2 linked regions of the Saccharomyces cerevisiae S288C genome follow. Changing the gene in region 2 together with the main gene of any one other region gives a genetic interaction. Each region holds a gene or a part of one and is shown on either strand. Other genes may lie near its edges.

Region 1 (4,540 bases), on a different chromosome or scaffold from region 2:
AAAATCTTCCTTTATGTGCGGGATGTATAGATTATTGAAATGTCTTTTCCGTAGTACTACAGCAAAAATGCAATAATACATATCAGATATACACATATATACATGAATGTTCTGAAAGTTTAATCTCTTTCAAAACAGACAGCAAAGAAACCAATACCACCGTCACTTTTTGGTAGTGCCCTGATACAACCCTCGGCAAGCTGTTGAGGGTCATAGGTGACTCCATCTCTAAAAACCTCTTCGAACTCTTCTACCTTGCCTCTTCTAGGCCAAGAAGGAATAACTTCTCTTTTTGGCGCTACTTTCCAACCCCATTCTCTAACTGACTTATCTAAAAGAAGGTCTATGACGACTCGTTCATTTTCTTCCGCATGAATGGAACATGTGCTGTATACTATTTTTTTAGCCGCTGGGAAACTCATTGCATGCTTTACCATCTGGAACTGAAATGAACTCAGCTTCGCTAACCTTGTCTGTAGTTCTTCCTTTGCTATAAACTCCTCTTGCTCATCCGGCACAATGCCACCATCGTCATCTTTATCATCAATTTTCCTTCTATTAAATGAGTCAAAAAACTTACGACCAAATATACCGCTACCGGAGCAGCTCGGATCTACAATAAAACAAGTAACGTCCTTATATTTTTCAGGAGTAGCGAGCTTTGTAAAATCACCTACATTGACACTGATGTTGGGAGAACAGCCAGCTATCTTGATCATTTTTTGTAAAACTTTTGCTCTTTCAGGATCCTTCTCGAAAGCGTATATTCGAGTATTATTGTCCTTCGGTGGTTCGGGATATATATAAGAGGCCGTATGGGTAGTCTTATTACCTGGAGCAGAGCAGGAATCTATCACAATATCACTTGGTCCTGGATTCAAAATGTGGGCTGGAAAACAAGAAGCACGATCTTGAATGATAATCTTCCCATGCTTATAAAGCTCATGTGCTGTAATTTTGTCAGACGGATGAATTCCAAACAAGTTTGGAATAAACTCATCATAATAGATAGACCCAGGAACTAGTTCAGACCATTTGTCTACCTTTAAAGTAAACTTCTTCCTCAATTCGGCTAACACCGGCTCAGTCTCACCATTTGGATGGCATTTTAATGGATTGATTCTAATCCATCTAACAGGAGGAAGGTCATTGGAAATATCCTCGCTTAATACCAACTCAGATAGCTCTCTTACTTTCAATTTGAGTTTCAATTTGACCATTTCGCTATGCAATGGGCTCTTAAACTTCAAAACATAATCTTTGATGGGGTGTTTGCCCATTTGAATTCTTTTCTGCTTAGACAACAGCAAATCATGGCAAAGCAATAACAAAGTTAGCCTTGAAAAGAGTGGTTTGCCCTTTTTCTTGGGTATATCTTCCAATATGTGTGCCTTTTTCATCACTTTCTCCAAATATGGTTTATATTTCCAACACGAATCGAGAACTGCATAAATATGTTTTGGATTACTTTTCAGCTTATATCTTTTACAGCTTTTCAGTACCAGCGTCTGCATAGAGCCGGAAATCCTTTCTTTTGCAGCCTCCTTCTCAATATCTTCTAGCACCCATGTTGCATCCCTGTAGAAATTCATGCTTTTTCGTAGCTAACTTCTCAGTGAAACACTTGGTGAAGAACCAGCTCTTCTCTTAACCTCATCGAATATTTTAGGCCAGTTTTTTTTTTCCTCACTTGCCATTTTCCCGCACCGTTTGGAAATCTCGAGGAAAATGCTTCTTTCCAAAAGTTTAATCAGGTCACTAATTAGGTAAATAGAGCTGGGAGGAAGCATATACAGTGTTTCGTCTGTGGAAGGAACTTTTATTTTTCTTAAATGTTTTAATTTTTAGTGACCTAATTCACATAACAAAATATTGAGAAAGGGAAAGTTGAGCACTGTAATACGCCGAACAGATTAAGCATGGATTCTGTAATGGTTAAGAAAGAAGTACTGGAAAATCCAGACCATGATTTAAAAAGAAAGCTAGAAGAGAACAAAGAAGAAGAGAATAGCCTCTCTACTACTTCTAAAAGTAAAAGGCAGGTTATTGTTCCCGTTTGCATGCCAAAAATCCATTATTCACCGCTGAAAACTGGTCTTTGCTATGACGTTAGAATGAGGTATCATGCAAAGATTTTCACATCGTACTTCGAGTACATTGATCCACATCCAGAGGACCCAAGAAGAATATATCGTATTTATAAAATACTAGCAGAGAATGGTCTGATTAACGACCCCACTTTAAGCGGCGTGGATGACCTTGGTGATTTAATGCTGAAGATACCTGTAAGAGCCGCAACCTCCGAAGAAATCTTGGAAGTTCATACAAAGGAACATTTAGAGTTTATTGAAAGCACAGAAAAAATGAGCCGAGAAGAGTTATTAAAAGAGACTGAAAAAGGTGATTCCGTATATTTCAATAATGATTCTTACGCGAGTGCTAGGCTGCCTTGTGGTGGCGCCATTGAAGCATGCAAGGCGGTTGTCGAGGGGCGTGTAAAAAACTCTCTAGCTGTCGTAAGACCACCTGGCCATCATGCAGAGCCTCAAGCTGCGGGTGGTTTTTGTCTCTTCAGTAATGTTGCTGTTGCTGCCAAGAATATCTTAAAGAACTACCCAGAAAGTGTAAGAAGGATAATGATTTTAGATTGGGATATTCATCATGGTAATGGCACACAAAAGTCATTCTATCAAGACGATCAGGTGCTATATGTGTCATTACACAGATTTGAAATGGGTAAATACTATCCTGGGACCATCCAAGGACAATATGATCAAACTGGTGAGGGTAAGGGTGAAGGATTCAATTGTAATATTACTTGGCCGGTCGGCGGTGTTGGTGATGCAGAATATATGTGGGCATTTGAACAGGTAGTTATGCCTATGGGGAGAGAATTCAAGCCTGACTTGGTGATTATTTCTTCAGGGTTTGATGCCGCGGATGGTGATACTATCGGACAATGTCATGTCACCCCAAGTTGTTATGGACACATGACACATATGTTAAAATCTCTAGCTAGAGGTAATCTTTGTGTAGTTTTGGAAGGTGGATATAACTTGGATGCGATTGCAAGAAGCGCTTTGAGTGTAGCAAAAGTACTAATAGGGGAGCCTCCTGATGAACTACCTGATCCATTAAGTGATCCCAAGCCTGAGGTCATAGAAATGATAGACAAAGTAATTCGGTTACAGTCCAAGTATTGGAACTGTTTTAGAAGGAGACATGCTAACTCCGGTTGTAATTTTAACGAACCTATTAACGACTCGATAATATCTAAAAATTTTCCTCTGCAGAAGGCTATTCGTCAACAACAGCAACACTATTTAAGCGACGAATTTAATTTCGTTACTTTACCGTTAGTAAGCATGGATTTACCAGATAATACAGTGCTATGTACTCCAAACATTTCCGAATCTAACACTATAATTATAGTCGTTCATGATACTTCTGATATCTGGGCAAAGAGAAATGTTATTTCAGGTACAATTGACTTATCCTCATCAGTTATCATTGATAATTCTCTAGACTTTATCAAATGGGGACTTGACAGGAAATACGGCATCATTGATGTAAATATACCTCTAACTCTGTTTGAACCTGACAATTACTCAGGAATGATTACATCCCAAGAAGTTCTAATATATTTATGGGATAACTACATCAAGTATTTTCCTTCTGTTGCCAAAATTGCTTTTATTGGAATAGGAGACTCATACTCAGGTATCGTACATCTGCTTGGTCACAGGGATACTAGGGCTGTTACTAAAACGGTAATTAATTTCTTGGGAGACAAGCAGTTAAAGCCACTAGTTCCTCTAGTAGATGAAACATTGAGTGAATGGTACTTCAAAAACTCACTTATATTTTCAAACAATAGCCACCAATGCTGGAAAGAAAATGAAAGCAGAAAACCAAGAAAAAAATTCGGTAGAGTTTTGAGATGTGATACGGACGGGTTAAACAATATAATTGAAGAAAGATTTGAAGAGGCTACAGACTTTATACTGGATTCGTTTGAAGAATGGAGTGATGAAGAATGAGGAAAAACTGGCCATTAATAATTTTTTTTCGGCAACCTTCATGCCTTATGAAAGTTGAATAATAATAAAGTTGTTACAATGTTCATTGTATAATCCAATATATCTAAAATAGGAAAAAGAAATGAACAAATGCATTAAGCTGTGTTTTACTAAGTATTATGGGAAAACGTATACATTAAAGTGGATGCTTACATATATAACACATTGTAATAAAGGTTCTTTGAACATGTTACCAGCCTCTTCAGAGATCGATCCGGTTCTGTTGAGCCAAATACTCACTTATCCAAGGATAACTTTCGTCCCGCGAGGAGCAGTGGTTTTGGAGGAGGTTTAGGCTTTAAATGTGAAGGCTTAGGTGGTGGGGTAGGTTTTGTTTTTTTGTCTTTTGAAATCGGGCCACTTGATTTCAGCATTGTTGGCTTATCTATCTCCCCTTTCTCATGCAGCTTGACCTTGGACATTTTCCTAGCGTTGAATGACTCCTCAGAAGAGTTGAGTTT
Region 2 (4,127 bases):
CAGAGAGCTTGACTGAAAAAATACAAAACAATATAAAAGCTAAAATCGGACGGATTCTTCACACGTCACAAACTCAAAGACAAAGGCTTCAAAAGAGGTTATTAGCTCACGAAAACAATGAATCACAAAAAAAAAAGAAGAAAGTTCATCATGCGAGATCACAGGCTGACGACGAAGAAGGTGATGGGGATCGAGAATCAGACAGTGATGATGACAGTTATTCACCGTCTAACAAAAATGAAACCAAGAAAGGGCACGAAAATATTGTGATGAAGAAATTGAGGGTCAGGAAAGAAGTTGACTACAAAGACGATGAAGATGATGACATCGAGATGACTTAGAAGGGAAAAAAACATCAATTGCTATGTTGTAAATGGAAAAAAAAGGAAAATAGGTAGATCTCTCACTTTAAGATGCGATACATATGCCTATGTATGTGTGTATATATGTAAGGAAGGTGTTCACGTTCCTGATTTATTCTTTATGTATGTACGCCGTTTCTATTCGGATTGGTTTTCGGGATTTTCTATGTTTAAAAATTTTAACAGTTCTTCCTTTGGTTTGGATTCGATAATCTTCTTTAAATATAACAGATGCTTTATTTCATCGCTGGAAAAGTCATTGAATTGTATAGAATCTAGTTCGTTCGGCACGACTACGTTAGTCAGTTCTTTCAAATCCCATAATTTTCTTAAGTTATTGCTTTTGGAAGCCGATTTATTGTTACTACTCTTGTCGTTGTTGCTAACTTGGAAATATATTAAAGAGGCTATGTCTTTGACCATATTATCCTCGCTATTGCCATTTTGGGATCCATTTGATACTAACTTATCTATTAAACTTTCTTGAAATTGAAAGAGTTTTCTTTTTTGAACCATTTTTGATTTGTAAATTTTATCAAAAAAATCATATTTAATGGAATTTTCATCTATTTGTGTAATTTTGAAATCTTGATTGAAATCATAATCTGTATGACTAGTTGTTGGTATGATTTGAATGTTCCCGTTATTTTGGTAGCCTATTTTTTGTAAAGGTTCATAATAAAGTTGGTTTTTCTTGTTTATCAATCGTTGTTTTTTCCACACCTTATAATTTACGCTATTATCTTCTTGACAATGGTGTATCTTTTTGTAAACTTTAGTTGGGGAATGTAGAGGACATTTCCATTTTGAACCTAAGTTCTTGAAAGAAGCCCTCGGTACACAATCCAAATGCCATGGAGTCTGACAATAATCACAAGTCATTATTAATCTTGAATTTTCTGGATGAGACCATGAACCTAGTCTGGTTTGATTGCATTTGTAACAAATTAAAAACTTACCTGAATTTGAATCTATATGTGTATCCGGGTTGTAAGAGTCCAATTTAGTTATGCTTTGGCCATAAGAAGTGTTAAACAATTGTCTATCAGTTAATGGAATCTTATCATTCTCATCAGAGTATTGTCCTCTCGAACCCGTTTTCACAGCAGGAAAGGTTTCTTTTATATAATTTGGTAGCTGGAACTGTTTTGGGTTGTGGGAATCGATATTGAAAAGTAATTTAGCAAAAATCTTGACGTTGTTATTTTGCTTAATGAAGTTGGATTCAATTTTTTTTAAAGTTGCCATTGAGTTATTTATGAAGATTTTAAACTTACATTCATTACAATGCCAATCACCTTTAGGCAGGTTGTTCGGATCAATTGGTGGGTCTAAGCAAAGAAAGTGAAAGGATTTGGGGCATGTATCACAGCATAAAAAAGAACCTGACTGATTACAAGCCGAACAAAAATCTTCATTCTCAAAATCTATGGTTGAATTGTTCTTGTCCCTGAAAATTTTTTCACTCGCATTCGATGTTGACTTGATGGAATTTTGGCCAAATAGTTTACTTTTTGAATCATAGGTAGCATTCGTTGAAAGTATTATTTTGGTTCTAATATTTGATAGCTTTTTATTATCGCGGTCGCTTTCAGGTTCACGGTCACGAGTTCTGTTTATTATATCGCCATTCCAACCAATAGTTGACCGTATATTGCTCTCTTCAGTCATGTTCTCAGTTAAAAACGTTTTCAAATCATTTCTGTTCAAATCCTGAAAATTTTTCGGCACCTGAGTAAATCTTTTACTGGGGACCAGCGTCATTTCTGAGTTGTTCGATTGGCCTCCCAAATTTTTTCTATAATTCCAAAGAGACTCTCGCTTGATTTTCTCAGAAGGACCTTTATTTAACGGCAATCCAGTGACAGATACCTTCGAATCTTCCGAGATGGTGGATGGCTCATTAAGTTTGATGATATTACCCTTGGAGTCCTTTTCAAGAAGTTCCTTGGGTTCTTCTTCCGGGATATTGTCTTCAACTGCAAGATTGCTATGCTCGTTCTTGAATGATCTTTCTATACCTTCAGAAGTGATGATCTTTCTCCTTTTCAAATCGTAATTTACATTCTGGGAGGATAGTCTCTTAGGACGTTTTTTCTCTTTGGAAGAAGATGAAGAGAGAGAAGAAGATGAAGGAGAAGAACTGTTGGAATGTGAGGGCGACCTAGTAGTATCTTTCTTGCTGGTGTCCATTGTATTATTATTAGCAGATGGTAATGGAAGTGTCTTTTATAGGTTTTTCTATGGTGATTATTCTCGTTTATACTTGGTATTCTTCTTCCTTCCTCTCGTGCTTGTTGCAAATGTTCAAACGCGTAGTGGGTACGTCGTTCTCTACAAAGGAATGAGGCAGATCTTGCAGCGAGCTACTAAAACTACCACTTATGGGTTAACACGATATATATGTATTTATATCTACTAATATGGTATTAAGGCTCAAAAATAACCTTGCAACAGAGAGCAATAGTATAATTTCCTACATGAGGAAGAAAGTTGCCTATTATGGTGAGCAGGTGAAATCCTAGCTGCGAACGGGAAACTTATTCGGACGAGAAACAGATGAGAAACAGATGAGAATTTTTGGGCTGGGTAAGCGAGAATTTTTATACCACTTGTGGTTCTACAAGGAGAACCAAGAGTAAAAGTTGAAAAATCTTCTTGCTCTCTGGATTACAATTCAGGAGGAAGTGTGTGCTCAGATATGGACCCAGAGTTACAAGCTATTAGGGAAGCCAGATTGGCTCAGTTGAAAAACAACAGTGGGGGTACCAACGGCGATAGAAATAGCGGTGCTAATAATGGTGGAGGTGAAAATTCCGCTCCCGTTGGTGCAGCTATTGCAAATTTCTTGGAGCCACAAGCTTTAGAAAGATTATCTCGAGTGGCCTTGGTCCGTAGAGACAGGGCCCAAGCAGTAGAGACATACTTAAAGAAACTGATTGCTACAAACAACGTCACTCATAAAATCACTGAAGCTGAAATTGTTTCAATCTTGAATGGTATCGCCAAGCAACAAAATTCACAAAATAACAGTAAGATTATCTTCGAACGGAAAGATTTCAGCGAAGATCTGAATTCATTTGACAAGCAGAATGCTAAAAATGATGACGACGAAGATGATGACGACTTCTTTGATTAGTTTATATAAACGAATAATATGTTTTTTCGTATAATGTTACATTTAGTACAAATCATATCCTTTATAGAACTAGAGTTAAAGTTACATTAATTATGTGTAGCAAAAGGACGAATAAGCAGAATATAACATATTAGCAGGTGCTTAGATTACACTCATAGAGATATGAGTAGTGACGGCATGAACAGAGATGTTTCAAACTCGAAACCAAATGTCAGATTCGCTGCTCCTCAGCGACTAAGCGTTGCTCATCCTGCCATATCATCCCCGCTGCATATGCCCATGTCGAAGTCGTCAAGAAAGCCTCTTGTAAGAACCAAAATAAGACTAGATCCTGGGCACAGTGCTCTGGACTGGCACTCTCTAACCTCCAATCCAGCGAATTATTATACAAAATTCGTTTCGCTACAGCTTATCCAGGATTTACTCGATGATCCGGTATTTCAAAAAGATAACTTCAAGTTTTCACCTTCACAACTGAAGAACCAATTGCTTGTCCAAAAGATACCCCTTTATAAAATAATGCCACCCTTAAGAATAAACAGAAAAATCGTAAAGAAGCATTGTAAAGGTGAGGACGAGTTATGGTGCGTTATAAACGGCAAAGTCTATGACATTTCTAGTTATTT

Evidence for each region. A genetic interaction does not mean that the proteins touch.
Region 1: mutations in RCO1 (region 2) and HDA1 together harm fitness more than expected from each alone (negative genetic interaction), as found in Saccharomyces cerevisiae (7 studies listed by BioGRID, with this or other methods).

Annotation. Positions count from the first base shown.
Region 1 is NC_001146.8:591,308-595,847, forward strand, and holds HDA1 (histone deacetylase HDA1), read left to right. Parts: upstream 1-1,919; coding exon 1,920-4,040; downstream 4,041-4,540. Other genes in the region: rRNA (cytosine-C5-)-methyltransferase RCM1, read right to left, coding at 120-1,592; serine/threonine protein kinase ARK1, read right to left, coding at 4,316-4,540. UniProt on the Saccharomyces cerevisiae protein: Responsible for the deacetylation of lysine residues on the N-terminal part of the core histones (H2A, H2B, H3 and H4).
Region 2 is NC_001145.3:412,410-416,536, reverse strand, and holds RCO1 (Rco1p), read right to left. Parts: upstream 2,556-4,127; coding exon 501-2,555; downstream 1-500. Other genes in the region: sister chromatid cohesion factor PDS5, read left to right, coding at 1-341; YMR075C-A (uncharacterized protein), read left to right, coding at 484-849; SDD2 (Sdd2p), read left to right, coding at 3,064-3,501; IRC21 (Irc21p), read left to right, coding at 3,664-4,127. UniProt on the Saccharomyces cerevisiae protein: Catalytic component of the RPD3C(S) histone deacetylase complex responsible for the deacetylation of lysine residues on the N-terminal part of the core histones (H2A, H2B, H3 and H4).